2 linked regions of the Stegostoma tigrinum genome follow. The protein of the gene in region 1 purifies or fractionates together with the protein of each later gene. This does not show direct contact. Links are inferred from orthologs where the notes say so. Each region holds a gene or a part of one and is shown on either strand. Other genes may lie near its edges.

Region 1 (15,927 bases):
AAAAATTCATGAAACCTATTTAATCCTATGTGCTCAATAAAGCACGTCATAACTTCTGGAGTGTCATGTTGGATTCACCATGCATCGGTTAGTTGTTTGTATCACTGTCTTCTTTCTTTATGAACAGCAACAACAAGTTCAAATGAATAGGAAATTTACTCACAAGAAACATGATCACAAAGCCTAATGAACTTTCCACAGTGAGCACGTATCTTCCAAACCTCAATTTAGGAAAAAGTAAATTAGGACACTTAATTACGTTACAAGAAAGCACTAACAATGAAGGCTAATTGCACACCAGCTAAAAACTAGAGACCAAACTGGTTAAGACTTTACAGTAGACTTGGGATGCTGATATTAAAATCCATACAGACTTTGAAACTGTCTCATCAAATGAAGTAAGCAAATCCTTGCACCAAACCGGAAATTCTTGATGCATGAACTAATCTTTAAAGGACTTAGCACAAGCTCTCAAAGTAATTCCACCTGCTGGTGATCTATTCTGAAAATTGGGCAGACAATATACCTAGAGATAGCAGGAACTGATGCTGGAGAATCTGAGATAATAGGTGTAGATTTGGATGCACAGAGAAGACCAAGCAGCAGAGGAGCAGGAAAGCTGACATTTTGGGTTTGGACCCTTCTTCAGAAATATTTCTGAAGGGTCCAGACTCGAAACGTCAGCTTTCCTGCTCCTCTGACACTGCTCGGCCTGCTGTCTTCATCCAGCTCTACACCTTGTTATCTGAGGCAATATATCTATCCTGATTTAATCAAGTCGCAGAAGTATTTAATATTGAAAGAAAGCAATCTATATTAATGGTCCATTATGGTTGTCAATTAGTACAGCCATCCCTTTAAATGGCCTAAGGTCCTTTCCCTCTCAGCTTCAATCAACATATGGAAGCAATATTGATTTCTTTCCTAAAGTGAACGAGCAGAAATTCATAATGTACCTTGCATGGATTCCTGTCAGTGAGATAACTCAGCAGGAAATGTCCACCAAAATTGTAATTTATGATTATGGTCCTTTAGTAAATATGGGTAAATGCATGCTATATCCAATTTTATGACATCTATGCATGAAACAGACTCAGATTACTTTATATATAGCAAGGGTTGCAAGCAATTGTACAGCTGACAATAATTAAGTCAGAAGGATGCCCTCCACAATTATTCAATATTTTACATTTTTTTTGTGCCTCTCCAAATTTGTTCCAAAAGTCAAGCACCACGGCCAATATCATGGCCCCTTCTGTTAGTACATTATCCAAATTGATTAATTAAAAGTGATAATGGGAACTGCAGATGCTGGAGAATCCAAGATAATAAAACATGAGGCTGGATGAACACAGCAGGCTCAGCAGCATCTCAGGAGCACAAAAGCTGACGTTTCAGGCCTAGGCCTCTCTGATTAATTAAAAGGGTATTTTTAACTAAACACTCTTGGTTAAAAAGACAATTTTCTGTCTTTCCATTGATTCCTTATCATGTAGAGGAAGGCTATTTGGCGTATTGAAACTGCACCAGCCCTTTGGAGAAAATCTCAACCAGGCCCACCCCCATCCCACAATCCCTAAGGCGGTTTTTATCACGGCTAACCCACCTAACCTGCACATCCTTCAACACTTCAAGTAAATTTCCGGCATGGCCAATCCACCTAATTGTACATGGGGCGGTATGGTGGCTTGGCGAATAGCAATGCTGTCTCACAACACCAGAGACCCAGGTTCGATCAGTGAAAAGCCACTAATGAAGATTTTGTAATTTTGCTGTTTTTTTTTAAATTGTTAAAATAAGTTCGGGCGATTGTCTGTGCATGGTTTGCACATTCTCGCTGTGTCTGCGTGGGTTTCCTCCAGGTGCTTCGATTTCCTCCCACAGTCCAAAGATGTGCAAGTTACGTGGATTGGCCATGCTAAATTTCCCATAGTGTCCAGGGATGTGTAGATTAGGTGGGTTTATAGGGGCATAGGTCTGGGTGGGGTGCTCAGTGGTCGGTGTGGACTTGTTGGGGTGAAGAGCCTGTTTCCACACTGTAGTGATTCTATGACAACCTTTGGACTGTGGGGAGAAACCAGAGCACCCACAGAAAACTGATGCAGACCCAGAGAGAACATGAAAACTCCACACAGTTACCCAAGGCTGAAATTGAACATTGGTCCTTAACAACTGTCAGACAGCATTGCTAACCTATGAACCAATGTGCTGCCATTCTGTAGTTATTTTGTGATATTCTTGATCTAGATCTGCAGAAAGAACTTATTTTAACAATTAAAAAAACAGCAAAATTACGAAATCTTCATTAGTGGCTTTTCACTGATCAAGAACTTCCCTCTAAATTTAACACATGACAAATTTCAATTCTTCTCAAACATGTGAATGGCAAATGCAATTCTATTTCTATCATGGAAGTCACAGTTTCTTCAAAAATATCTCTAGAACCAACAGTTTACAACACACAGAAAAGTCAAGGCAGTAACTGCACAGGGACACTTGTCAATCAGATATACATCATTCGTTATTCCTCCATCATTGCTGGTTCAATGCACAGCAACTTCCTGTTTAATCACCATGGGAGTTCCTTCAGATCATACGGGCAACAATGATTCAGTATGCAGCCCACTGTTAAATCTCAAATGATATTAAGATTAGATAATGCATGATGGCCTTATAATGGCCAACAGGAAACAAAAACAAATCGAAAGGAATAGGATCATTCAATGAGCTGTATGTTAAGACTGGATAAATACTTCCAACACTACACATTAAAATCTTCACTGAAACAGTCAAATAACATTTGAGAAGTTGTTATTGTTTCACTGAATTTGGACCTAGGTTTAAAAGTCAAAATTATCTCAACAGGCTACAATAATTTGACAAAAAGAAGTTTCAGCATCTCAACACACTGTCTTGTGTTCAAAACAAACCTGGACTATCCGTAATACACTCATTATTACTCAGAAAGCCAAAGCACAGCTGAAAAAAAAATCAAAGCTACAGCAAGAGTGTACTTTTGAAGTTAGAACTAAAGCATATCATAACCAAAAAAGGAATATTCATTCTGCCTGATCCTCAGCACTAAATCAAATCTTTTGAGAAGCTCTATTCTAATAATAATTTATCATAACTTGGAAAACAACTGATCAATAAAAAAATCTCACCTCAATAGAGCTTGCGATATTTAAACATTCTTCCATGCCAGGAATATCCAAGTGAATGATACGCAGATCCTTACATTTAATTGTAATTGAACCCAATGTTCCCACAAACCTGGAAATAAAGAAATACAATCTACTTAATAACAGCGGTATTTATACGTCATTTTTTTAAAAATTCTGCGCTTTCGAGAAATGGCTTTATTAGCATTAACACTCCCTATTAGCCTGGAATTCATGACAGTGTCAGTCAGATTTATGTAGGGCTATTGTTCGTTGTACAATGTGGTGATCAAAAGGAGTTTGCAGTGTACAGTGGGATGGGTCCTAGTGCTGATTTCTCTTCAAGTATGGAATATTTCAGTCAGACGGTGCTACATACTGGAGACACAGAATTTAAGTTATTTTCATTGTGCAGTCCTGCAAAATGATGAATTAGGTTAAGAGTTAGATTTTCTTTTGGCAATAACTGAAAATAAAGAGAATTATGATTTATTTTTTCTTTCTCCAATGATTAGAGCATTGCCCAGAGCTGCTTTCATAATGGCATGGTTTTAAGTAAGACTCAGAAAGACTGGGATTTATGCATCTTAATTTGTTCTTTCACTGGGTAGATAAATTTACTGATCCAAGAAACAGAAACCTATGGGTCTGCCACCAAAGATGACTTGCTCAGCACCTGGGGAATAGATCTCAAGGCAACACTTATTGAAACGTACTTTTATAAATTTTAAAGTTAGTCATGCATAATGTGAAGGATTCTTCTAATTATTTTAAATTGCTGAGCCCTCCTTTGTGGACTACGTTGATACGTTATTGCTGTGTAACACTGACTGTTTAAAAAACAAAATAATCTAAGTGATATCTTATCACACAGCTCACGTGGTAAGTTTAAAAAAGTATAAGGTGCCTTGTCGCGAAACCATCTCCACTGAATACAACTCGTATTTGTCTTTTCTTTGAGTCTTCCATGCTATTACCCAATTTCTGCCTCAATGATCCTTGTAAACTCTTGGTCACTTGTACTGTCCCCTATACCTTTATACAATTATGCTTTCAAACTAATCTACGTGAATTGAAAGGAACGACTATGGATGCCAGAAATGAACCAAAAACAGAAATTACTGGAGAAACTCAGGTCTGGCAGCATCTGTGGAGAGAATGCAGAGTCAAGTTAAGTCCAGTGACCCTCTGTCAGTCAAGTGACAGTTTAACTTAACTTTAGGAAGTAAGGACTAAACCCGTATGGAAATAAAGTCAACTGAAATACAGCCCCCACTGCTGCTAGCAATCATGTAGATAAGTGGTGTTCACATCAACATGTGTCAGATGGCAAAAATCAAAAAGTAGATTAACTTATATTTTTATAAAACAGGATTTTCCCATTTCTACTTAACAAATTGCACCCAGAATCCTAACACTCTTAATCCCAATCGAGCGGTTTCAATCAGCTATTTACACCTTCTTACAGTGCTTTTACATTGGCAAGTATTTATTGAACAGCCTGAAGTTGACAATGGATTTAATTAACCTTGCAGTTGCAACTATAGCAATATTGTTTGATACAGACGGTCAATGATGATTGATAGACATAAAGGATGTGAATAAAGACACCTGCAGGCAAAGGCACACAAATCTCAACAAGTAATAATACGAGTACTGTAGTAAAATGGACTTTGAAAGAGACCCACACTTCACTGACAGATTGCAAACATTTGGCACAGTGGCTATCACGGTGGACCGAGGTTGGCTTCCACCGTTGGACGACTATTTGCGTGGAAGTGCGCATATTCTCCCCGTGTCTGCGCGGCTTCCTCCAAGTTTACCGGTTTCTTCCCTCAGTCCAAAGAAATGCAAGCTACGTAGATTGGCCATTCTAAATTGCCCACGGTGTCCAGGGACGTGCAGGCTATGTGGAGTAGGCAAGGGATAGGGGTTCTGGAAGAGTAATCTTCGGAGGTTCGATGCGGACTTGAGACGAATAGCCTGCTTCCATACTGTAGGGATTCTATGACTCCACCTCTTAAACATTTGTTTCATACAAAAGACAAATTCGTGCAAGTACAGTGTGTGAGCCGCAATTACAACATACAGTGACAGATTTCTGGTCAATACTCGAGAGACAGGACATTACAGTTGGAGAAAGAGACAACATCTCCACGGGAGCAGATAAAGCGAAACTGAATTTTAGTGATTAGTGTAACATAGTTGCGAAACCTGTAGGAAAACAAAAAACAAGGAAATGGGGCGATCTTCTAGACTGCTCCAAATAACTGGACATGGGTATGGTTGACTATAAGTCAATAAAACTGGAGCTTGGAAAGCCACAGCAGGTCTGACAGCATCCAATGAGCAGGGAAGTCAATCTGTTGAGCCGAAACCCTTCGTCGGAAATTTATAGTTTATTTCTAAGCTGTTAGAGTTTACGAGCTCGTGGCCAAATCTGTTGACACATAAACCGTACAAGTGAGGTTAGGTCCGGCTACTTGCCTGCTACACAGTCGCCGCTGCTCGAAGCCCGACTCCAGCCTCACTCACCTTTTCTCGATGGCGTCGATGTTGTTGTGCAGTAGCCAGAGCTCCTCACTGTTATCCTGGCGGGAGGAGAGGATCAAGTGGTGCCCGGTCAGACACAGGGTGCCCTCCACCCGCGGCAGGAAAGGCCGGTGAAGGACCACATTGTCCACCCGCGGAGTCTTAATCAGCTCCGCGAACTCCATCGTCCACCCTCCCGGAACCCGCAGTGTCCGGACCACAATAACCTGCGCACCAACCACTCGACGGAAGACAGGTCCCGCAGTGCATTGCCCCCGAAAGACAACTTCCCGAGTCGTGGTTCCGACCAGAATTCACTGATTGTTGACGTTTCCGTCTCAGAAAGGTTAGCAATGGATTTCGTTCGTTTGGCCAGAAGGCCTGAGATTGCTTCACGCCGAATTACAGTCAACATGCCAAACGCCTTCTAGATCACTCTCTCCTCCAACCTGACAGCCACCACGGCTCAAATAGATAAAAAAAACAAAGTTAGAGAAAATCGGCAGGTCCGGAAGCAGCTGAGAGGAATAGAATTCAGGTTTCCAGTCCAATGTGAATTGTTCAGAAGTGAAGGGAGAATCAGAAAAGTGATGGATTTTTAGCTGCAGAACAAGGTGAAAGGAACAAGTAGAAAAATAAAGGTTAGAAGGCAAGGGATTAGTCGTGAAAGAGCGAAAGGCAAAGAGTTCACAGCAAAATGTAACTCAGCTCTGCTGAACATCAAAACCAAGAAGACCGTATGCTTGGGGTAGATGCTTAGGAAAGTATCAGAGAATAGAGTTCACTGTTTGAAGTTCCTGAAATTCCTCAAGGCTATCAGGAAATGATGGGAGGTGCTCTTAACTGAAGATGGCATGAGAAGGCCATTCTGCCAGATCAAGACAGGTGGTCAGAAGTAGTAGATGAGGTCAGCAACCTAGGTGACCTGGGTCCAAGAGTTGCAGAGAGGTGGTGACATCAGGCTCCTCGGTCCCTTTGAGGAGAAAATTCTGATCTGCGTGGAGAAGAGCATAATTCTTCACTTGGTAATGGAGAGTCCACAATAGCCAATCCACCAAGTAAGCTTCATTGTGCTCTTCTGCACTTTACTAATCCCCCATTATAACCAACACATTTTATTCCTCTTTGTCAACTCTCTTCTGCACTTCTATTATGTAAGCGTGAGCAAACCCGGCAAACCTGCACAAAGAGACCAGTGCTGGAGATTGTCAGCTGCACTTCCACCTCTGCTGAGGAAGCTACTGAATTCCTAGAGGATGCATTGACAGAGGCTTTCACCTTCACTCTCTACCAGCTCAGAGACTTTCACTTTGGTGTTCTACACTTTCTAAATTAGACTTGGGAACATGATCTGTTGAGCACATCACTGACTGTAGCTGATTGACAAAGGAACACCTTTGTCTGTAATACTCAGAGGGCAACCAGAGACCAGGCAACTGTTGGACTGCAGGCAGAACAGGAGCTTGTTCCCAACCATTATTGACTTTTCCAAAAAGCAGACAGACACAGGAACATCAGGTAGGCGTGTCAGAAGCACTTTGTAATCTAATTGAAAGATGGAGGAGTCCACCAATTTAATCAGTACAGTGCTAGCACTTGGCTGTGTGCATCCAGCTGTCAGACAAGTTGACATGGTCAGATAAAGCACCATGGACACCCAACTCGAGCACTTTAAGTGTTTGAAAAATATGGGTATAGATTACATTCCGTTGTTATATCCATTGTTAGTCAGCATCATTTGCAAGGGGGATATGGAAAGTCATTCTCATTCCAAGTGGCTCTTCCTGTCAGGGAGACAGCTTGGTAATGGCAGATACCAAAGAGGTAGAAAGAGCCACACGTAACCCCTAGAAATTTCTCCTCAGGACACCTGAGAGGTGTCCAGCCTCTCCAGTTTGCCCACCTCTGATTCCAGTCTGCAGCTCTTCAACTTGAGGATGATTAGCATGCATCTTGACAGGATACTGTCAGCAGACCTGGGTCATCTTGGCCCAAAGGCACCAGGGAACAAGTGCCCGAATATTCAGAGCATCCACATACTATGCTTCCTCTGACCCCATTGCAGAGATCAGGACTGCATTTAAAAGAGTATGAAGAGGGGAAGAAAACAAATTACTGAGAACATAGTGGAGACACGGATGAAATATCATTATAACTAATCTTCCACTTTTGTAAATGCATATTAGTTTGCACTGCTAAAATATCTATATAATTTTCGTTGTCAGACCTGGTTATGTATCATCCGTGTGAAAGATCGGCAGCATCTTCTCCAATACCCCAAGAAAGAAAGGAGTTCCAATTGCCAAGTATTGCTCTTCACTCACAAGCAACTGACTGCTTGAAAGCGGATAGCCTCAGCAATCCTTAAAATGCGGCATTAAGGACGGCAGCCAAGGTGTTCCACTTGGACAATGTTAAGGCCAAATGCAATGTGCAAGAAATGCGCTTAGGTCTGCTGTGGACACACAATTCCATACTGAAAACCACCTTCTGGTGGCGAGTGTGGAATCAGTGGTGATTTTACACATTTCTATAGGGAAAGTTAGTGTGACGCATCAACTTAGCAAGGGAGGCCACTGACATTCAAGTCTGGCAGAGATGACGAAAATGACGGCAATGCCTGCAGATGTGGGATCTCTTTATATTCCCTTGTCTCCTTGGTGGATCTTCACCTGCTGTTTCTCCCTCTGGAACATGTGCTTTTAGCACTGGAACTTTCTTATCCTCCTGATGTAGTTGTCTCCTTTTATATTGTTTTTGGTTAGTGCATTGAGTATAGGATTTGGGACATTGTGTTGTGACTGTACAGAACATTGGTGAGGCCACTTTTAGAATACTGTGTTCAGTTCTGGTCTCCCTGCTTTAGGAAAGCTGTTGTTAAACTTGAAAGAGTTCAGAAAAGATTTACAAGGATGTTGCTGAAATTTGAGCATTTGAAATACAGGAAGAGGCTGAACAGGTTGGGCTTTTTTTCCTTTGAATGTTGAAGGGAAACATGTTCTCATTCCAAGTAGCTCTTCCTCTCAGGGAGGCAGGTTGGTGCCAGGAAGTACCAGGAGACAGAAGGAACCACACACACACACACACACAGACACACACACACACAGACACACACACACACAGACACACACACACACACACACACACACACACACACACACACACACACACACACACACACATACATACATACAGTCCCCAGAAGCTTCTTCTCAGGACACCTTAGAGGTGTCTGACCTCTCCAGTTTTCCCATCACTGATCCCAGTCTGCAGCTGTTTGACTTGCATGCATCTTGGCAGGATACTGTCAGCAGACCTGGGTCAGCTGGGCCCGAAGGCACCAAGCAACAATTGCCCAATCTTTCGAGCAACCAAATAACATGTCGAGCATTTAGAGGGTTAATAGCCAAGGTCATTTTCCCAAGGTAGTGGAGTCCAAATCAGGGGGCAAAGGTTTCAGGTGAGAGGGGAAAGATTTAAAAGGATTGGGGTGGGGGGGGACATTTTTACACTGATGGTGGTGTGTGTAATGGAATGAGCTGCTAGGAAAGGTGGTGGAAGTGATTACAATTACGGCATTTAAAAGGCATTTGGATTGGTGCGTGAATAGGAAGGGTGTAGACGTCTATGGGCTAAGACCTGGCAAATGCGACAAGATCATTTTAGAATACCTGGTTGGCACGGATAAGTTAGAATAAAGAGTCTGTTTCAATGCTGACTCTATGGCTCCAGATACTGCTTATTCATGTGAGATCAGAGAGCAGATAACCTGTCAGGAACCAAGGAAGATACCACAGTTTTATTGAAGGAACTCGAGTTTTCACATCTGCTACACAGTAACATGTTCAACTCCTTGACTGGTCAGCCCTCTCCACCATCACCATCTCACCTCAAACCCATACCCTCTACTTTTGGAGATAATGGGAACTGCAGATGCTGGAGAATTCCAAGACAATAAAATGTGAGGCTGGATGAACACAGCAGGCCAAGCAGCATCCCAGGAGCACAAAAGCTGACATTTCGGGCCTAGACCCTTCATCAGAGAGGGGGATGGGGAGAGGGAACTGGAATAAATAGGGAGAGAAGGGGAGGCGGACCGAAGATGGAGAGTAAAGAAGATAGGTGGAGAGAGTATAGGTGGGGAGGTAGGGAGGGGATAGGTCAGTCCAGGGAAGACGGACAGGTCAAGGAGGTGGGATGAGGTTAGTAGGTAGATGGGGGTGCGGCTTGGGGTAGGAGGAAGGGATGGGTGAGAGGAAGAACTGGTTAGGGAGGCAGAGACAGGTTGGACTGGTTTTGGGATGCAGTGGGTGGGGGGGAAGAGCTGGGCTGGTTGTGTGGTGCAGTGGGGGGAGGGGACGAACTGGGCTGGTTTAGGGATGCAGTAGGGGAAGGGGAGATTTTGAAACTGGTGAAGTCCACATTGATACCATTAGGCTGCAGGGTTCCCAGGCGGAATATGAGTTGCTGTTCCTGCAACCTTCGGGTGGCATCATTGTGGCAGTGCAGGAGGCCCATGATGGACATGTCATCTAGAGAATGGGAGGGGGAGTGGAAATGGTTTGCGACTGGGAGGTGCAGTTGTTTGTTGCGAACTGAGCGGAGGTGTTCTGCAAAGCGGTCTCCAAGCCTCCGCTTGGTTTCCCCAATGTAGAGGAAGCCGCACCGGGTACAGTGGATGCAGTATACCACATTGGCAGATGTGCAGGTGAACCTCTGCTTAATGTGGAATGTCATCTTGGGGCCTGGGATTGGGGTGAGGGAGGAGGTGTGGGGGCAAGTGTTGCATTTCCTGCGGTTGCAGGGGAAGGTGCCGGGTGTGGTGAGGTTGGAGGGCAGTGTGGAACGAACAAGGGAGTCACGGAGAGAGCGGTCTCTCCGGAAAGCAGACAGGGGTGGGGATGGAAAAATGTCTTGGGTGGTGGGGTCGGATTGTAAATGGCGAAAGTGTCGGAGGATGGTGCGTTGTATCCGGAGGTTGGTAGGGTGGTGTGTGAGAACGAGGGGGATCCTCTTAGGGCAGTTGTGGCGGGGGCGGGGTGTGAGGGATGTGTTGCGGGAAATACAGGAGACGTGATCAAGGGCGTTCTCGATCACTGTGGGGGGAAAGTTGCGGTCCTTGAAGAACTTGGACATCTGGGATGTGCGGGAGTGGAATGTCTTATCGTGGGAGCAGATGCGGCAGAGGCGGAGGAAGTGGGAATAGGGGATGGAATTTTTACAGGAGGGTGGGTGGGAGGAGGTGTATTCTAGGTAGCTGTGGGAGTCGGTGGGCTTGAAATGGACCTCAGTTACAAGCTGGTTGCCTGAGATGGAGACTGAGAGGTCCAGGAAGGTGAGGGATGTGCTGGAGATGGCCCAGGTGAACTGAAGGTTGGGGTGGAAGGTGTTGGTGAAGTGGATGAACTGTTCGAGCTCCTCTGGGGAGCAAGAGGTGGCGCCGATACAGTCATCAATGTACCGGAGGAAGAGGTGGGGTTTGGGGCCTGTGTAGGTGCGGAAGAGGGACTGTTCCACGTAACCTACAAAGAGGCAGGCATAGCTGGGGCCCATGCGGGTGCCCATGGCCACCCCCTTAGTCTGTAGGAAGTGGGAGGAGTCAAAAGAGAAGTTGTTGAGGGTGAGGACGAGTTCAGCTAGGCGGATGAGAGTGTCGGTGGAGGGGGACTGGTCGGGCCTGCGGGACAGGAAGAAGCGGAGGGCCTTGAGGCCATCTGCATGCGGAATGCAGGTGTATAGGGACTGGACGTCCATGGTGAATATGAGGTGTTGGGGGCCAGGGAATTGCAAGTCCTGGAGGAGTTGGAGGGCGTGGGTGGTGTCACGGACGTAGGTGGGGAGTTCCTGGACCAAAGGGGAGAAAATGGAGCCCAGATAGGTGGAGATGAGTTCGGTGGGGCAGGAGCAGGCTGAGACAATGGGTCGACCAGGGCAGGCAGGTTTGTGGATTTTGGGAAGGAGATAGAAATGGGCCGTGCGGGGTTGGGGAACAATGAGGTTGGAGGCTGTGGGTGGGAGGTCCCTGAGGTGATGAGGTCGTGAATGGTGTTGGAGATGATGGTTTGGTGCTCGGGTGTGGGGTCATGATCGAGGGGGCGGTAGGAGGTGGTGTCGGAGAGTTGGCGTCTGGCCTCGGCGATGTAGAGGTCAGTGCGCCATACTACCACTGCGCCACCCTTGTCTGGGGGTTTGATGGTGAGGTTGGGGTTGGAGCGGAGGGCTGCCCGTTCTGCGGGGGAGAGGTTGGAGTGGGTGAGAGGGGTGGAGAGGTTGAGGCGGTTAATGTCTCGACGGCAGTTGGAGATGAAGAGGTCGAGGGAGGGTAGGAGGCCTGGGGGTGGTGTCCAGGAGGAGGACTTGTGTTGGAAGCGGATGAAGGGGTCAGTGGAAGGAGGGTTAGGTTCCCGGTTGAAGAAGTAGGCATGGAGGCGAAGACGGCGGAAAAACTGCTCTATGTCCAACCGTGACTGGTATTCGTTGATGTGTGGTTGTAGGGGGACAAAGGTGAGCCCCTTACTAAGGACTAACCGTTCGTCCTCAGTCAGTGGGAGGTCTGGGGGGATGGTGAAGATGCGGCAGGGCTCAGTGTGGCTGTCTTCTCTGCGGTTGCTGGCTGTGGAGGTTGTGGGCGGAGCGATGAGGTCGTCGGCTGTGGCCGGGGTTCCGCCTAGCTGAACTCGTCCTCACCCTCAACAACTTCTCTTTTGACTCCTCCCACTTCCTACAGACTGAGGGGGTGGCCATGGGCACCCGCATGGGCCCCAGCTATGCCTGCCTCTTTGTCGGTTACGTGGAACAGTCCCTCTTCCGCACCTACACAGGCCCCAAACCCCACCTCTTCCTCCGGTACATTGATGACTGTATCGGCGCCGCCTCTTGCTCCCCAGAGGAGCTCGAACAGTTCATCCACTTCACCAACACCTTCCACCCCAACCTTCAGTTCACCTGGGCCATCTCCAGCACATCCCTCACCTTCCTGGACCTCTCAGTCTCCATCTCAGGCAACCAGCTTGTCACTGATGTCCATTTCAAGCCCACCGACTCCCACAGCTACCTAGAATACACCTCCTCCCACCCACCCTCCTGCAAAAATTCCATCCCCTATTCCCAATTCCTCCGCCTCCGCTGCATCTGCTCCCACGATAAGACATTCCACTCCCGCACATCCCAGATGTCCAAGTTCTTCAAGGACCGCAACTTTCCCCCCACAGTGATCGAGAACGCCCTTGATCACGTCTCCTGTATTTCCCGCAACACATCCCTCACACCCCGCCCCCGCCACAACCGCCCTAAGAGGATCCCCCTCGTTCTCACACACCACCCTACCAACCTCCGGATACAACGCATCATCCTCCGACACTTTCGCCATTTACAATCCGACCCCACCACCCAAGACATTTTTCCATCCCCACCCCTGTCTGCTTTCCGGAGAGACCACTCTCTCCGTGACTCCCTTGTTCGCTCCACACTGCCCTCCAACCCCACCACACCTGGCACCTTCCCCTGCAACCGCAGGAAATGCTACAATTGCCCCCACACCTCCTCCCTCACCCCTATCCCAGGCCCCAAGATGACATTCCACATTAAGCAGAGGTTCACCTGCACATCTGCCAATGTGGTATACTGCATCCACTGTACCCGGTGCGGCTTCCTCTACATTGGGGAAACCAAGCGGAGGCTTGGAGACCGCTTTGCAGAACACCTCCGCTCAGTTCGCAACAAACAACTGCACCTCCCAGTCGCAAACCATTTCCACTCCTGCTCCCATTCTCTAGATGACATGTCCATCATGGGCCTCCTGCACTGCCACAATGATGCCACCCGAAGGTTGCAGGAACAGCAACTCATATTCCGCCTGGGAACCCTGCAGCCTAATGGTATCAATGTGGACTTCACCAGTTTCAAAATCTCCCCTTCCCCTACTGCATCCCTAAACCAGCCCAGTTCGTCCCCTCCCCCCACTGCACCACACAACCAGCCCAGCTCTTCCCCCCCACCCACTGCATCCCAAAACCAGTCCAACCTGTCTCTGCCTCCCTAACCAGTTCTTCCTCTCACCCATCCCTTCCTCCTACCCCAAGCCGCACCCCCGTCTACCTACTAACCTCATCCCACCTCCTTGACCTGTCCGTCTTCCCTGGACTGACCTATCCCCTCCCTACCTCCCCACCTATACTCTCTCCACCTATCTTCTTTACTCTCCATCTTCGGTCCGCCTCCCCTTCTCTCCCTATTTATTCCAGTTCCCTCTCCCCATCCCCCTCTCTGATGAAGGGTCTAGGCCCGAAACGTCAGCTTTTGTGCTCCTGGGATGCTGCTTGGCCTGCTGTGTTCATCCAGCCTCACATTTTATTTACCCTCTAGTTTTGGACTCTCTTACCCTGGGGAAAAGCCCTTGTTGTTCACCCTTTCCATGCCCCTTAAGACTTTATAAACCTCTGTGAGAACAGCTTTTGTCTCTGGACGCTCCAGAGACAAAAGCTCTTGCCTATTCAGCCTTTCTCTATAGCTCAAAGCTTCTAATACTGGCACTAAAATGTAATGCAAGTTACAGAGCTGCAGTGCTGTGAATGAACACTGAGGACTCTATGTATAAGAGATCAATGTCATTCACAACGACCAGATAGCCTGTAGGTCACTGCTAAAGTCAGTGCATGTGGACTAAGAAAGCCATATGAAACGTGAAGAGGCTTCAATTATACACAAAGTGAGTGCGCATGGAGAAGGCAGTGTAAGAGCGGAAAGATGCTACCATGTAGATGCATGTGTGACCCTGTGTGCAAAATGATCTGGCAGAAGCAGGCAAATTATAGATGTCCCTAAACTCCTAAGTAAAGTGTTAAAAGACTGAAGTAGTGTGTGATTCCAGATCAGATCTAATCTCTATAACCCAATGACATTCAACATGTATGCTGGTCGACAATTAAAAATTCACTCGAGAAAGAAAATTGACAAACATTCTCATCCACAACAATGGGGAACCCAGGAAATCAGTGCCAAAGGTAAGGCTGAAGCATTCACAACAATCTATACTCAGCTTCCTCCAGAGGTCCCTATCATCACAGAAGTCAGTCCTCCCTCAATTTGATTCACTCCATGTGATGTCAAGAAATGGCTAGAGGCACTGGGCATTGAAAACACTGGGTCTTGACAACACTCTGCCAATAGTACTGAAGATATCTACTGAAGACGCCCCTGGGCAAGTTGTTCCAGTACAGCTATAACACGGTCTCAACCTGACAAAGTTGAAAATTGGCCTGGTATGTTCTGTACACACAAGGCGGAACAAATTCACCCTGGCCAATCTGCCCCATCAGTTTACCCTCAATCATTAGTATAGTGTTGGACAGGATCAACAATAGTGCTATCAAGCAGCTCTTACTTAGAAATAACCTGCTCACTGACGCCTAGCTTAGGTTCCGCCACGGTCACTCAGCTCCTGACCTTACTCCAGTGTTAATCCAAATATTGAAAAAAGAACTGAATTCCAGAGGTGAGGTGAGGTGAGAATGCTTGCACTTGACATCAAGGCTGCATTTGACCGACTGTAGCATCAAGGAGTCCGATCAAACCTGCAATAAGTGGGAATCAGGCATAAACTCCCTGTGGTTGGAGTCATGACTGGCACATAGGAAGACGGCTGTAGTTGTTGGATGTTAGCTAACTCAGTTTCAGGACTTCACTGTAAGAGTTTCTCAGGGTAAATTCCTCAGCCCAACTATCATCAACTGCTTCATCAAGGAAGGAGCAAATTGCTGCAGATGCTGGAATCTGCGCTGAAAACAACAAATGCTGGAGATCACAAAAGGTCAAACAGCAACCATGGAGAGAAAGCAGGCTAACATTTCAAATCTAGATGGCTGTGATGAAGAATTCAGAACTGAGGAAGAGTCACTCGACCCAAAATGTTAATTCTGATTTCTCTCCATAGATGCTGATGGACCTGTTGAGGTTTTCCGGCAATTCCTATATTTGTTCCACCTCGCCTGTGCATCTTTGGACTTTGAAATCTGCACTGTTACTCTCAATGTTTTCTTTCCAGTGGGATCAGTTTCTCATTATCTATTCTGTATAGACCCTTCATGATTTTGAAAACTTCTTTAAAATCCCCTCAACCTTCTCCAATCTAATTTTATGGCTGAAATTTCTCACTGCTGGAGCCATTCATGCAAAGGTGGTTTCTCCAAACCTGCCAGTATTCCCTTTGTTCCTTCTGTCCAGCTCAAACTAAATT
Region 2 (16,299 bases), on another chromosome or scaffold:
GGCAGTGGATGCATAGGTACACCATCAACTGCAAATTTCCCTCCAAGCAACTCACCTTTCCTAAATCTAATTGCCATCTGTTCCTGGAAGAAAACCCTGGAAGTGTCATTCCAGCAGCACCGTGGGTACCCGTACACTCCAAGGACCGCACCGGTGCAAGGCCACCACCCCCCCCCCCCCCGCCAGGGGGTTGGCACTGGGCGGGTGCGCGCACACACACCATAAATAAACAGAGGCCAAAGCAGTTTCTGCATCACAGAACATAAACAGTTTTTGAGTTTTTAGAACTGGTTTTCAGAATTCTTACCAAGCATGAGTGAACAAACTTTTTCAGGTATATCTATACGAAATGCAGAACTTACAATGTAAATATGACTGACAAGCCTCAACTATTCAAGAATATTTAGGCCCCATCTGAGTCTGAAGGAAGTCATGTGTTTTAAAACACCCCCCATCCAAACTGTAGAAGGGAGGCCATATTTTACACTAGCAGGATAGATAAAACAAACTGGTACTGTGGATTATACGGACTTTCAAACAAACATTTCATGATGCATGGCATGTAAAAGTGTGACATATTGCATCAATTGGCCGCCATCATGACAGAAGCAACAGGCTGAGTTTAATACATTGGAAACACGCTTTACCCCATTAAATTGAAACTTTACACAAAGCCAAAGAGTAGACTACCCTTGGCAGCAAAACAGATTGTTTAAAATCGTGTACAGAGAGTTGCAGAGATTTGTCAATTTCAGACAGCCGCCTCCTCTCAATTCAACAGATCCTAAATCATCACATCAGGATTCTATACATATTGGGTGGCTGTATAGTTAAATCAAGGCAGGATGGAGAGGGGATAAAACAGGTCACAAGTGACAAAAATCAACAACGTAGAAGTAGTTACCTGAAGTATTTTTCCTCCATTGCTGCCTCCCTTCTGCCGAATGCACCTCCAGCTTCTCTTATGCTCCCTCCACCACCACCTCCTTTTCCAGCACCCTGGCCAAGCTCACCCAGCTGAAACACAGTAATGTCCACCTTCAGGTTAGGCAATGCTGTATGTGTATTTTCTATGTTCCCTTGGAAGGAAATATCTGGTTTTATATACAAATTGGAACCGCTCAACATCTCAGCAATGAGATAATGGCTTATCTGGTTATGGCTTCAGGCCTACTTTATGGTCAGCCCACATAACTCAATTCCCTTGTATGTGAAAAATCTAACACAGCCTTCAACGAATTTAAAGACTAGCCTCCACTGGAGAATTCCACACTAACACATTGAGAAGAGTGTATCTTTCAGAAGAATACTTTCTTCTTAACCTATGCTCCCTAGATTTCATCTGCCCCACAAGAGACAACATCCTTTGGCTCCAAACTATCTAGCACCATGATGGTGTTAGATGTCAAGTTACTCCAGGATCCTAAAACAAATTATATCTTCTATTTTATCAGCACAAGTGTGCTAAATAACTCAAAACAAATAGTGTGGATGCTGTAAATCAATCAATAACAAATTTCTGGAAAAGATAGGTCTGGCAGCATCTGTGGAGAGAAATCAGAGTAAACATTTCAGGTCAAGTTGAGCAAGAGTCACTTGACCTGAATCACTGACTGATTTCTCTCCACAGATGCAGTCAGACCTGCTGAGTTGTCCCAGCAATTTCTGTTTTCGTTGCTAAGTCAGTTGCAGCCTATACGACAAATGACAGTGACAGGATAATATGAAACAGCAGTTACAATTTGATTTTTGACTGCAGGTATGAAAATCTAACAGCTGCAAACAACGTAATAGAAAGTTGCCAAATCAGGCTCCTTCAGAAAATACATTTTGGTCAAATTGTAAAAGACCATTGACAGTTTTAGTGGGTGAAGACCAAGGGATTCAAATCAACCTGTTGAAAGTCACAATCCAGGACAAAGCCATTTACTTGACAGGCATCCCACTACCCACTTGGGTCCAAGCTATGCCGGGCTCTTTGTAGGATTCGTGGAACAGACCCTCTTCTGTAATTTCACTGGAATCATCCCTCACCTCTTCCTCCGCTACACTGAAGACTGTATTGGTATTGCCTCATGCTCCCATGAGGGGCATGAACAATCCATCAACTTTACTAACACCTTTCACGCCAACCTCACCTGGATCATCTCAGAGTGTTCCATTCCCGAACATTCCAGATGCTCCGCTACTTCAAGGACCATAACTTATCCCTCCAGTGATTCATAATACCAACAACAACATTGCTTGCATTTCCTGCAGTTCTGCCCTTAAAACCCCTTCTCCCCAAAAAAAGGCCAAGTTCCCTGGTCATCACAGAGCACCCAACCAACCAACCTCCACATCCAGCACATTATCCGCCGCCACTTTTGCCACCTGCGATCTGACTGCAAAGAGACATTTCCTTCCCCACCCACACCTGCCTTCCACAGGTACTGGTCACTCTGACTCCCTCTTCCACTCCACACTTCCCACCGAGCCCACCACACCCCCCGCACCTTTCCCTTTAACCGCAGGGAAGTGTTACACCTGCTTGTACACCTCCCCTCTCACCACCATTCAAGGCCCCAAACAATCTTTCCAAATCCAGAAATTCACTTCTACATTCCCCAACCTGGTCCACTGTATCCATTGTTTTCAATATGGTCTGTGCTTGATCTCACCGTAGAGGAGACCAAGTACAGACTTACTGACTGATTCACAGAGCATCCATGCTCCATACACTATAATCAACAGCACCTTCCAGTTGCTGACCATTTTAACTACCACTGCTCCCCACCCACCCTCTTGTGTCACAATTACACTGCACATAAAACTACAGGAACGCCACCTCAAATTCCACTTTTGCAGCTTACCGCTCAATGGCCTCATTGTGAAACTGATTTCAATCTCCCCAGCCCCAGCCTCATCCAATGTCCATCGCTCCCTCTCATGCCCACCTCCTTGACCTGACACAAACCATCAATCTTCTTTCTCACACATTCGCTCCACCCTTCCCATGACACATCTCAACAACCCCCTACCTGCATCCACCTATCACCATTCCACTTACCTTCCCCCAGCCCCACTACTTTCCCACTTCTGACAAAGGGTGTAAACCCAAAAACACCAACTTTCCTGCTCCTGACTGTTATGTTCCTCCAACTCCAACGTATTGACCCCTCTACCATTGGTGTTTTCTAGATGCAGCTTCCAAATCATGACATCTACTACCCAAAGGGCCAAAGACAGATGCATGATCTGCACATTACACTACAAACTACACACTACCCTTGTTTAGTGATAATGGTAACTGCAGATGCTGGAGGATCCAAGATAAAGTGAGGAGCTGGATGAATACAGCAGGCCAAGCAGCATCTCAGGAGCACAAAAGCTGACGTTTCGGGCCTAGACCCTTCATCAGAGAGGGGGATGGGGAGAGGGAACTGGAATAAATAGGGAGAGAAGGGGAGGCGGACCGAAGATGGAGAGAAAAGAAGATAGGTAGAGAGGAGAGTATAGCGAGGAGGTAGGGAGGGGATAGGTCAGTCCAGGGAAGATGGACAGGTCAAGGAGGCGGGATGAAGTGATAGGTAGGAAATGGAGGTGCGGCTCGAGTTGGGAGGAAGGGATGGGTGAGAGGAAGAACAGGTTAGGGAAGCAGAGACAGGCTGGGCTGGTTTTGGGATGTAGTGGGGGGGGGGGGGGAAGAGAAGGGGGACGAGCTGGGCTGGTTTTGTGATGGGGGAGGGGAAGAACTGAGCTGGTTTTGGGATGCAGTTGGGGGGGGGGGGGGGGGGGGGGGGGAGAGAAGAGATTTTGAAGCTTGTGAAGTCCACATTGATACCATTGGGCTGCAGGGTTCCCAAGCGGAATATGAGTCGTTGTTCCTGCAACCTTTGGGTGATATCATTGTGGCACTGCAGGAGGCCCATGATGGGCATGTCGTCTGAGGAACGGGAGGGGGGAGTTGAAATGGTTCGCGACTGGGAGGTGCAGTTGTTTGTTGCGAACCGAGCGGAGGTGTTCTGCAAAGCAGACCCCAAGCCTCCACTTGGTTTCCCCAACGTAGAGGAAGCCACACTGGGTGTGATGGATACAATATACCACTTGGGCAGACGTGAAGGTGAACATCTGCTTGATATGGAAGGTCATCTTGGGGCCTGGGATAGGGGTGAGGGAGGTGGGGTGAGGGAGGTGGTGTGGGGGCAAGTGTAGCACTTCCTGCGGTTGCAGGGGAAGGTGCCGGGTGTGGTGGGGTTGGAGGGGAGTGTGGAGCGAACAAGGGAGTAGCGGAGAGTGTGGTCTCTCCGGAAGGTAGACAAGGGTGGGGATGGTAAAATAGCTTGGGTGGTGGGGTTGGATTGGAGATGGCAGAAGTGTCGGAGGATGATACATTGTATCCAGAGGTTGGTGGGGTGGTATGAGAGAACGAGGGGGACCCTCTGGGGGCGCTTGTGGCAGGGGCGGGGTGTGAGGGATGTGTTGCGGAAAACGTGGGACATGCGGTCAAAGGCGTTCTCGACCACTGCAGGGGGAAAGTTGCGGTCCATGGACGTCCAGTACCTATACACCTGTATTCCTCATGCAGATGGCCTCAAGGCCCTCCGCTTCTTCCTGTCCCGCAGGCCCGACCAATCCCCCTCCACCGACACCCTCATCCGCCTAGCCGAACTCGTCTTCAGCCTCAACAACTTCCCTTTCGATTCCTCCCACTTCCTACAAAGGGGGTGGCCATGGGTACCTGAATGGGCCCAAGCTATGCCTGCCTCTTTGTAGGTTACGTGGAACAGTCCCGCTTCCGCACCTGCACTGGCCCCAAACCCCACCTCTTCCTCCGTTACATTGATGACTGTATCAGCACCACCTCTTGCTCCCCAGAGGAGCTCGAACAGTTCATCCACTTCACCAACACCTTCCACCCCAACCTCAAGTTCACCTGGGCCATCTCCAACACATCCCTCACCTTCCTGGACCTCTCAGTCTCCATCTCAGGCAACCAGCTAGAAACTGATGTCCATTTCAAGCCCACCGACTCCCACAGCTACCTAGAATACACCTCCTCCCACCCACCCTCCTACAAAAATTCCATCCCCTATTCCCAATTCCTCCACATCCACTCCCAGGATGAGGCATTCCACTCCCACACATCCCAAATGTCCATGTTCTTCACAAACAGCATTTAGCCAATGTCACCCATATCCTGCTAACAATCTAAAACAATTGAAAGCTCAAACTTAAAACATGGAAATTATTAAAATCACAGGCTAAGTTGTTTAATCCTTTCACTAACACTGGTTAACGTAACAACAGTGAACAAAACAAAGGGAGCAAGAATTCTTCTGGCGGGTGCTGCTGCTGTTAAGACAAACCACTGCAGAGTGAGGAACAAAAACAGAAATTGCTGGAAAAGCCCAGCAGGTCTGGCAGCATCTGTGGAGGAAAAAAACTGAGTCAGTGTTTCGGGTGCGGTGACCCTTCCTCAAAACCGCAGAATGAGATTTAATTCCCCCACCCCGAGCTTTAGCCTTGCATACAGCTCTGGAACACCATCCTTCCAGCAGGGCTCACCTCACGGCCCAGACACAACCCCAGCCCCAGCCCCAATCAAGGCCCAGGCTCCGGTAACTGGGCCTGGGAAGGGCAGCTCCACCCAGTACAATGACCTTGGGTTGTTTTGGGTGGGAAAAGGTGGAGGATAGGAGTGTGCAGTGGGACATCAGTGGGGTGAAGCAGATGGACGGGGTATCTCTTCACCCCCGTCCCCCGCCTGGGCCTGCCTCATCACTCACTCACCGGACCCGACATGATGTCAAGCTATCACTCCGCTCCTCCCCTTCCCAGGCCAAACACAGCCCTGCCCTATCCTGGTCTGATACCTGGCTACCGTCGCTGTAAGCCCGCAACTGCCGAACGACGAGGAACTGGCTCCGAAACAGCAGCAGACGCGCCATCGTCTCCACCCTTGCAATGACCGAACGGTACCCGAACCAGCCGCCCGCACCACGTGACCCCAGGCCCTGTCAATCAGGTGGGCCACGCGCCTTAGACCCACGTGACAGGGTCCACCTTCAATCAGATGTCGTCCCCGTCCTTAGACCCACGTGATGATGCACACTCTACATCAGGAGCTGGGCCCGCCCCTAGACCCACGTGACCTGGTCCGCCGTCAATCAGAAAGTAGTCCCCGCCCCTAGACCCTCGTGATCATGCCTTCTGTCAATTAGAAGGTGGGCCCCGCCCCATTTGTGAAGAAGGGTCCAGACCTGAAACGTCAGCTATCCTGCTCCTTTGATGCAGCGCAGTGTTCCTCCAACTCCACACTGTGTTATCTCTGACTCCAGCATAGGCAGTTCTTAATATCCCATGCAGGGTTCTTAAGGGGCTTGATAGAATAAATGCTGACAGGGAGTGTGTGGGACCAGAGAGCATAGTCTCAGAACAGGAGGATGCCAATTTAAGACTGAGATGAGAAGGAATGTCTTCTCTCAGAGGATTCTAAGTCTTTGGAAATCCTTGCTGCAGAGAGATGTAGGGACAGAATCTTTCCGTCTACTTTAAGGCTGAGATATATGGATTCTTGATCAGTAGGGGAATCGAGTGTTAGTGGGAAAGGACAGGAAAGTGAACATGCAGAGTGTTAAAGCAGCCATGATCCTACTGAATAGCAGAAAAGGCTCCAAGAACTGAACTGCCTACTCATGTTCCTATTTTGTATGGTTTGGCGATTTATCAGGAGAGTGCGGTTGAAGTGCAATCAAAAGGAAAGCAAAAGATTTCTAAGCTAACAAAAACTGGAAAGTCAATTAACAAATCAACTAATCACCCAATAACAAAACTGCCCATCGAGATGTGAGTTCTTTTAAGAAATAACTACACTTCTCATCAAATTACAAACAGTATCCATGAGACACTTTTTTTGAATATCAACTTGTTTGGACATGTTATGACACAACATGTCTCCAGAATAGGTGGGACTTGAAGCCAGACCTTCTGGCCCAGAGGTTGGGACACTTCCACATCAATATAAGACACCTAGGAACACACATCTTAAATACCAATAATGCAACCCTGCTCTCAATCAACTCTGGAGCTGGTCTGGTTGACCCTTAAACAACTTTGTTTCCAACACTGAGGAAATGAGTTAACTTGAAAGAAAATACCCGTGACCACTAATATCTTAATACCCGGGAAATGACAGTCGTATCAGTTTGACATTACAGTGGGAAAACTGATGGAAGCCATAATACAGGATAAGGTTGGTATACACTTAGAAAAAAAAAGTCAATACAAGACAGTCAGCATGGTTTTGTCAAGGTTAGGTCATGTCTGACATATTTAAACTGAGTTTTCTAAAAAGGTGATACAGACAATGGATAAGTGTAGTGCTGTGGATGATGTCTATTTGGACTTTCAGAAAGCAATTGATATGATGACACATGGCAGGTTGGGGTTAGCAAATTAGACATGTTTGGGATTGATGGGTGATTGGAAACAGAGGGTAACTATAGATGGGCATTTTTCACATTGGAGACAAGTTGAGAATGGTGTTTCCCAAAGGGTCATTGATTGGACCCTTGCTTTTTTCTGATCTAGATAAATAATTTGGAGATGGGTGTTGAGGGCAAAATCTCTAAATTTGCAGATGATACTAAACTAGGGAAAGTAGTGAATTGTGGGGGTAATGTTGAGCAACTTCAGAGGGACATTGACAAGTTGGCCAAATGGGCAGACACCTGGTAGATGAATTTCAATGCATTTTGGTGGAAGAAAACTGGACAGAAAATACAGTTCAATGGTACAATTTTGAGGGAATTACTGGAACAGAGGGACCTCAGGGTTCAAGTCTTAATTAATTTGATTCATTGTTGTTGCTTGTGCTTAGCTACAGTGAAAAGCTTTGTTTTACAAGCAGTACAAAGAGATCATAGCAAACAAGGACATACAGGCTGCTTAGACAAAGCTAGGCATATAAAGTCACTGCTGCATAGGAGGTACATAAAGCAAGATCATCCTTAGCAAGATCTGCTTTATTTTAATTTGGAGAGGTCCATTCATCAGTTTAATAACAGCTGGGAAGAATCTGTTCTTGAACCTATTGGTGCATGTGTTCAAGCTTCTGTATCTTCTGGCTGATGGAAGAGATTGTAGGAGAGCATTAGCGGGTTGGGAGGGCCCTTTGATGATGTTGGCAGCCTTTCCCCAGCAATGCGATGTGTAAATGGAGTCTGTGGATGGGAAGTTGATTTTTGTGACGGTCTGGGCTGTGCACACAACTTTCTGTAGTTTCTTATAGTCCTGGACAGATCAGTTGCCACGCCAGGCCATTATGCACCCGGACAGTTCGCTTTCATTGGTGCATCTGTAGAAGTTGGTGAAGGGCCTTATGGACATGGCAAATTTCCTGAGCCGCCTGAGGAAGAAGAGGCGCTGTTGTGCTTTCTTGACAGTTGCACCAATGTGGGAAGTCCAGGACAGATTGTCAGTTATTGTCACTTCTAGGAACTTGATGCTCTTGACCCTCTCTACCTCAGTTCCGTTTATGTGGTAGGGTGTGTTCTCCTCCTTTCTTCCTGAAGTCAATGGTCAGTTATTTTGTTTTGCTGACATTGAGAGAGAGATTGTTATCATTGTGCCACGACACCAAGCACTCTTTCTCTTCCCTGTATTCTGACTCATTGTTGCTTGATATCCGTCCTACCACAGTGGTGTTGTCAGTAAGCTTGTAGATGGCATTCGTACAGAATTTGTCTACAGTCTGTACAGGGAGTACAGTAGGGGACTAAGTGCATCCTTGCAGTGCACCAGTGTTGAGGATTATGGTGGAGGAGACGCTGTTGTCTATCTTCACTGATTGTGGTCTGTGGGTCAGAAAGCTGAGGATCCAGTTTCAGAAGGAGGATCCGAGATCTAGGTCTCGGAGTTTTGAGATTAGTCTGATAGGGATGATGGTGCTGAAGACAGAGCTGTAGTCAATGAGTAGGAGCCTGACGTAGGTGTACTTGTCATCCAGATGTTCCATGGATGACTGTAGGGCTGGGGAAATGATGTCTGCTGTGGAGCTGTTATGTCCATAGACAAATTGCTGGGGAAGGAGGCTGGCTGGGAGGTTCGAGTTAACGTGGGCCATGATTAGCCTCTCAAAGCACTTCATAATTGTCTGAGGTGGCCAGGCAATTTGAAACAGTTGTTTAGAAGTCTTATAGAACCCTTGGGTTTATAAATCAATGCACAGAGTATATAAACAAGGAAATGATGCTACACCTCTACAAATCATTGGCCAGACCACATTTGGAGTGTTGTGTTCAGTTCCTTATTTAAGGAAGCATATTGAAGCCCTAGAGAGAGAGCAATGGAGATTTATGAGAATGATACCAGGAATGAGGGATATTAGGTGCAAAGAAATATTAGAGAAATTGACCTTACTTTCCTTGGCGAAACAAAATTTAAGAGGTGAGTTTACTGAAGCATTCAAAATTATGAAGAGTTGACACGGTAAATAACGATATTGTGTTTCCACTAGTTATTATTTGTAACTTGGGGTCGCAATTTCAAGACTGTCAGCAAGAGAGCTACGAGTGAAATGAGGAGAAATGTCTTCTCTGAGAGAGTTGTTAGGATTTGGAAAGTGCTGCCTGGGTAAGTTGTGGAGGTGGATTCAATTGGAAGTTTCAAAAGAGAGCTAGATATACACTAGAAAGTGATTAATTTAGAGGGCTACAGAAATAGGACTGGAGAAGGGACTAGCTGGTAGCTCTTTTGGGAGCCAGTAGAGATGCGATTGGTCGAACAGCCTGTTTCCATCCTGTAAAACTTTACGATCCGCTGACTCTATAATTGAGTCTCATTCTGGTTCCTGGAGACTGAAGGAACGTATACTTACTACATTTCCTTCTTTCTTCCCCTAGCTTTCCAGTTTAATAATAAATATTGATCTCAGAATCTTGATTATTGGATGAACAACAATTAATTTGTGTCTTCATTCCCAGTTCAACCAGAAACCGGAATGTTTCAGCATCTTCAGGAAATGAGGAAGGAAATTGAATCCCAACCCCATTTGCCATAATTAGAAAGTTTGCAATTCAGTTGCGCTCAAGACTAGTACCTTAGGTAAATAATTGTAGAGTACATCTATTCATAATTAAGTTGCTGAATTGTCGGTTGCATGCATCTAGTGCAACGTTTTTACAACTGAATCAAAAAATTGAAAATGCTTTCTATAACATAGCAAATTTTAAAAAAACTAAACCGATAAGTGAAATATGGTAATAAAATGTGAGGCTGGATGAACACAGCAGGCCCAGCAACATCTCAGGAGCACAAAAGCTGACATTTCAGGCCTAGACGCTTCATCAGAGAGGGGGATGGGGTGAGGGTTCTGGAATAAATAGGGAGAGAGGGGGAGGTGGACCGAAGATAGAGAGAAAAGAAGATAGGTAGAGAGGAGAGTATAGGTGGGGAGGTAGGGAGGGGATAGGTCAGTCCAGGGAAGACGGACAGGCCAAGGAGGTGGGATGAGGATAGTAGGTAGGAGATGGAGGTGCGGCTTGGGGTGGGAGGAAGGGATGGGTGAGAGGAAGAACTGGTTAGGGAGGCAGAGACAGGCTGGACTGGTTTTGGGATGCAGTGGGTGGAGGGGAAGAGCTGGGCTGGTTGTGTGGTGCAGTGGGGGGAGGGGACGAACTGGGCTGGTTTTGGGATGCGGTGGCGGAAGGGGAGATTTTGAAGCTGGTGAAGTCCACATTGATACCATTGGGCCGCAGGGTTCCCAAGTGGAATATGAGTTGCTGTTCCTGCAACCATCGGGTGGCATCATTGTGGCACTGCAGGAGACCCATGACTGACATGTCATCTAAAGAATGGGAGGGGGAGTGGAAATGGTTTGCGACTGGGAGGTGCTGTTGTTTATTGCGAACCGAGCGGAGGTGTTCTGCAAAGCGGTCCCCAAGCCTCCGCTTGGTTTCCCCAATATAGAGGAAGCCACACCGGGTACAGTGGATGCAGTATACCACATTGGCAGATGTGCAGGTGAACCTCTGCTTAATGTGGAAAGTCATCTTGGGGCCTGGGATAGGGGTGAGGGAGGAGGTGTGGGGGCAAGTGTAGCATTTCCTGCGGTTGCAGGGGAAGGTGCCGGGTGTGGTGGGGTTGGAGGGCAGTGTGGAGCGAACAAGGGAGTCACGGAGAGAGTGGTCTCTCCAGAAAGCAGACAGGGGTGGGGATGGAAAAATGTCTTGGGTGGTGGGGTCGGATTGTAGATGGCGGAAGTGTAGGAGGATGATGCATTGTATCCGGAGGTTGGTGGGGTGGTGTGTGAGAACGAGGGGGATCCTCTTTGGGCGGTTGTGGCGGGGGCGGGGTATGAGGGATGTGTTGCGGGAAATGTGGGAGACGCGGTCAAGGGCGTTCTCGACCGCTGTGGGGGGAAAGTTGTGGTCCTTGAAGAACTTGGACATCTGGGATGTGCTGGAGTGGAATGCCTCATCGTGGGAGCAGATGCGGCGGAGGCGGAGGAATTGGGAATAGGGGATGGAATTTTTGCAGGAGGGTGGGTGGGAGGAGGTGTATTCTAGGTAGCTGTGGGAGTCGGTGGGCTTGAAATGGACATCACTTACAAGCTGGTTGCCTGAGATGGAGACTGAGAGGTCCAGAAAGGTGAGGGATGTGCTGGAGATGGCCCAGGTGAACTGAAGGTTGGGGTGGAAGGTGTTGGTGAAGTGGATGAACTGTTCGAGCTCCTCTGGGGAGCAAGAGGCGGCGCCGATACAGTCATCAATGTAGCGGAAGAAGAGGTCGGGTTTGGGGACTGTGTAGGTGCGGAAGAGGGACTGTTCCACGTAACCTACAAAGAGGCAGGCATAGCTGGGGCCCATGCGAGTGCCCATGGCCACCCCCTTAGTCTGTAGGAAGTGGGAGGAGTCAAAAGAGAAGTTGTTGAGGGTGAGGACGAGTTCGGCTAGGCGGATGAGGGTGTCGGTGGAGGGGGACTGGTCGGGCCTGCGGACAGGAAGAAGCGGAGGGCCTTGAGGCCATCTGCATGCAGAATACAGGTGTATAGGGACTGGACGTCCATGGTGAAAATGAGGTGTTGGGGGCCAGGGAATTGGAAGTCCTGGAGGAGGTGGAGGGCGTGGGTGGTGTCACGGACGTAGGTAGGGAGTTCCTGGACCAAAGGGGAGAATGTTCCTTGTTCAAGTATGAAACCTGTATTATTATCAAAAGTGAATCCATCTAAAGTTGCTGCTGATCAGTTTGCAAGTATACTGATTTGTTCTTTTTCCTCAACTGTATAAAGCACCATCTAATGGTCAGGCAGGAAATGACTGAACATCAAGCATGCTTTGGAATTAGACCTCAGAGTGAGGTTATAGCACTGGCTTTCAGGTATTACATATATTTGTGTTCCAGAATGATATTTTTCATAACACTGAGTAGAGTTAGTCTGAAGTCTCAAGTATAGTTTGGATTTATTATGTAATTGTTAATCTTTAGACTATTGCTTGTTCAAACTTTATGGGAATCTAAATAATTATAGTGTGGTCACACTGCAATAAATATGCATATACAAAGTTCTGCAATAGTTAAAGAGTCAAGGGAAAAGCCAAGCTCGTTTTTGATATTGGTTAAGAGAGAAATGTTGGTTAGGTTCCTGTGAAAACTCTGTGCTTTTTTTGGATCATGCAAGATCCTTTTTCTGCATTCAACTTGTCAGAGACACAGCGCCTTAGAGTTTAACATCTTATCTATTAGGCATTAAAGGCACTCTCCAATTTGGCATAAGTTAGGGAGAACCATTGTCTCGAAGTCAAACATTATCCTCAGGTCAATGTATATCACCACTGCTGGGTCACTAATCAAGTGTTCCCTGTCTCACACCAGTGTACCATGGCCATCACAACATGAGCCAGAGGGGTTATCATAGAGCAACTAGGATTTTTTTTATTATTCATTCATGGGATGAGGTTGTCGCTGCATTTATCACCTATCCCTAATTGCCCAGAGGGCAGTTTAGAATAACCACTTTGTTGCGAGACTGGAGTCACATGTAGGCTAGACCAGGTAAGGATGGCAGTGATGAACCAGGTGGGTTTTTCCTGACAATTAGTAATGGTCATTATTAGACTCTTAATTACAGACTTTTCTCTTATTGATTTCAAATTCCACTGTCTGCTGTGGTAGGATTCAAACCTGGGTCCCTGGTCTAAACTGCCCTCCGGGCAAATAGGGATAGGTGATAAATGCATCGACAACCTCATCCCATGAATGAATAATAAAAAAAAAATCCTAGTTGCTCTGTGATAACCCCTCTGGCTCATGTTGTGATGGCCATGGTACACTGGTGTGAGACAGGGAACATTTGATTAGTGACCCAGCAATGGTGATATACATTGACCTGAGGATAATGTTTGACTTGGAGACGATGGTTCTCCCTAACTTATGCCGAATTGGAGAGTGCCTTTAATGCCTACTAGATAAGATGTTAAACTCTAAGGCTCTGTGTCTCTGACAAGTTGAATGCAGAAAAAGGATCTGGCATGATCCAAAACAAAGCACAGAGTTTTCTCAGGAACCTAACCAGCATTCCTCTCTCGACCAATATCAAAAACAAGCTTGGCTTTTCCCTTGACTCTTTAACTATTGCAGAACTTTGTATATGCATATTTATTGCAGTGTAACCACACTATAATTATTTAGATTCCCATAAAGTGTGAACAAGCAATAGTCTAAAGATTAACAATTACATAATAAATCCAAACTATACTTGAGACTTCAGACTAACTCTATGCAGTGTAATGAAGAAGATCATACTGGAACACAAATAAATGTAATACCTGAAAGCCAGTCCTGGGTTTCTGGATTAACAGTGCAGTGACAATACCATTAGGCTGTCACCGATCTCTTGTCACGGAGAAGTCCAGTGGAAAATGGACATTAAAACATTGTATTCAGCATTTTAGAACCAAATCTTAAATCATGTCAATGAGAGTTTCAATACTTGGTCAGTAGAAAATTTTGACAACTCTAGACCAGATGCAGGGAGGAACGTCATAGGCCCAATGGTTTCTCCTGGTCTGGGACCCAGTCCCTGAACCAAGAAACAAAGTCCTATCTCAGACCGTCAGACTCCCACACTGACCCAAGTCCAGCACCCCACCCTAATTAGCCCAACACCCTCACAATGACCCAAATACAGTGACTTGTGACCCCATAATAACTTAAGCTCGGTGAACACACACTGACCCAAGCCCGCCAGCCACAACCCATTCTGAGCTCAGTTGTCTTACTCTAACCCAGGCACAATTGGCCCTCTACTGCCCTGGACCCCCATTAATGGATCCCTTTAGTACATCTTGTCCCAGGCTTTGCTGTAAACATACCTGTGGGGGTAGGGGTATTGGGGGCAAACCAGTTTAATGTATCCAGCCAATAACTTTTCATTAGTTTATTTTGTGAAAATGTTTTCTGATGCTTAGGAGGCTCCCCAGCATTCTGGATCTGAATTGCTGAATAGAGTGGGTTGGTCTTATTTGTGTCGTGGTTAAATAGCAGTTACCATTAAGACACACATGGAAAAATGGCCAATTTGATGTGTTATAGGCTGGGGTGACCAGCAGTCCTGGAATCAAAAATCCCCAAGAGAATCAGTGTCTTTAGGGCACAAGGAAAATAACTTCCAATCTGAATCGTATCTGACTTCTTTACATATTTTCGCTTTCCACATGTTCTCACAATGTGCAAAACTGTAAATAATTTATCTCCAAGAGAAGGTCACAGTGTCTTAAATTCCATTGGGTCTGTGTTATTGATAAGATTCTTTGGATTGTTTCTAGGATTGATCAAGTTTCAGGAACTCACTGATTAGCAGCATTTCCTTTCCAAGGTCAGAGATTTTCGGAAACCGGGGTATGCAACCCTCCACAGAGGGACTTAAGAAAGGATCTCAGGAATCCAGCATGATTCTTAGAGGCGCTAAGAGTTGTTTGGAACTGTGAGCTACCGGCAACACCTCTAGTTCTGTTCTCTGTGTCATTGCTTGCTGCCTGATGATTTGGAATTGTTGTTTCTTTGCTGCAGTCTGACATTGATCAATATTATCTGGTATTGTGAACCTGTCTTTTCAAATTCCACAGGTGAATTGACAATGTTTGTAAGTCATCCTCAAAAAAAGTGAGTTTTGAAAATCGCTTCCCAACTGCAGAGGAGACAGGGGTGGTTGCCCACAAATGGGTTAACAGTGGCAAGTCATTTGAGGGGCTCTGGCTTCATGTGGTGTGATTTAATTCTGTTTGGACTGATGAAATGTGTTGCAGTGACAGTGGATAAATGTAGCACCGTCAGCTGCAGTCTAGCCTGATTCCTCTCAGTTCTGGCAGGGGATAGGGGTAGATGTCTGGTTTGGGCTTACAGAGAGAAAAAGCATACATGAGGACCTTCAGCCTATCAAGTTGACACAACCTATTTCCATTAATCCTGCTTTCCATCACTTGGGCCATAACGTTGAATGATATGACATTTCAAGTGATTATCCACATACATTTTAAAGGTTGTAAGATTTCCTGCCTCTACTATCCTCCCAGGCCGTGCATTCCCAGTTTCCCATTACTCTGGGTAAAAACATTTTTCCTCAAATCCCCTCTAGACCTCCCTGGCTTTTCCTTAACATAATGCCCTTCATCGTTGACCCTTCAGCTAAGGGCAACAATTGCTTCCCATCCATGCCGTCTATGCCCAGGATAAACGTATATCCCTGCCAGTCCCTTCTATAGTGTGGCAGCCAGAACTTCAGTAATTCAGCTGTAGCCAAACCAAAACATTGTACAGCTCCGACATACCCTCCTGCTGTTATCATCTATGCCACGACTAATTAAGGCAACAGTCCTGGATGCCTTCTTAACAACCCTATTAACACGTTCTGTCGCCTTCAGGGATCTGTGGACAAGCACTCCCAAGATCCTTCTGTTCCTTTGAGCTTCTTAGCATATTGCCATTCACTGAGTACTCCTCTTTCCTGTTACTTCTTCCAAAGTGCATTGCCTACATTTATCAGGGTTAAATTTCATCTGACCAATTCATTTACATCTTCCTGTAACCTAAGACCTTCTTCCTTACCACCAACCGTATGACCAATTATCATGCCATCTGCAAACTTACTTATCGACTCCACATTCTCATCTACATCATTCATATATGTCACAAACAATAAGGTAGCCAGGACTGATGCCAGAAGCAGTTCCTGTGATCCAGGAATCTAAAACCCTTCCTCCTGCACCAACTCTTGAACCATGCATTTATCTGACCTGTGCTGCTAGTTCTGAATTCGCC

What was found.
Region 2: the proteins of mtmr9 (region 1) and atp5if1b purify together in Homo sapiens (affinity purification with mass spectrometry; 5 studies listed by BioGRID and IntAct, with this or other methods). This does not show direct contact. The link is inferred for Stegostoma tigrinum from reciprocal best matches to the Homo sapiens genes MTMR9 and ATP5IF1.

What each region holds. Positions count from the first base shown.
Region 1 is NC_081357.1:78,589,042-78,604,968, reverse strand, and holds the start of mtmr9 (myotubularin-related protein 9), read right to left. Parts: upstream 5,952-15,927; 5' UTR 5,879-5,951; coding exon 5,697-5,878; intron 3,274-5,696; coding exon 3,165-3,273; intron 1-3,164. UniProt on the Homo sapiens protein: Acts as an adapter for myotubularin-related phosphatases. Increases lipid phosphatase MTMR6 catalytic activity, specifically towards phosphatidylinositol 3,5-bisphosphate and MTMR6 binding affinity for phosphorylated phosphatidylinositols.
Region 2 is NC_081377.1:35,731,432-35,747,730, reverse strand, and holds the start of atp5if1b (ATPase inhibitor B, mitochondrial), read right to left. Parts: upstream 6,053-16,299; 5' UTR 5,931-6,052; coding exon 5,856-5,930; intron 5,800-5,855; exon of another isoform or gene 5,785-5,799; coding exon of another isoform or gene 5,773-5,784; intron 1,018-5,772; coding exon 905-1,017; intron 1-904.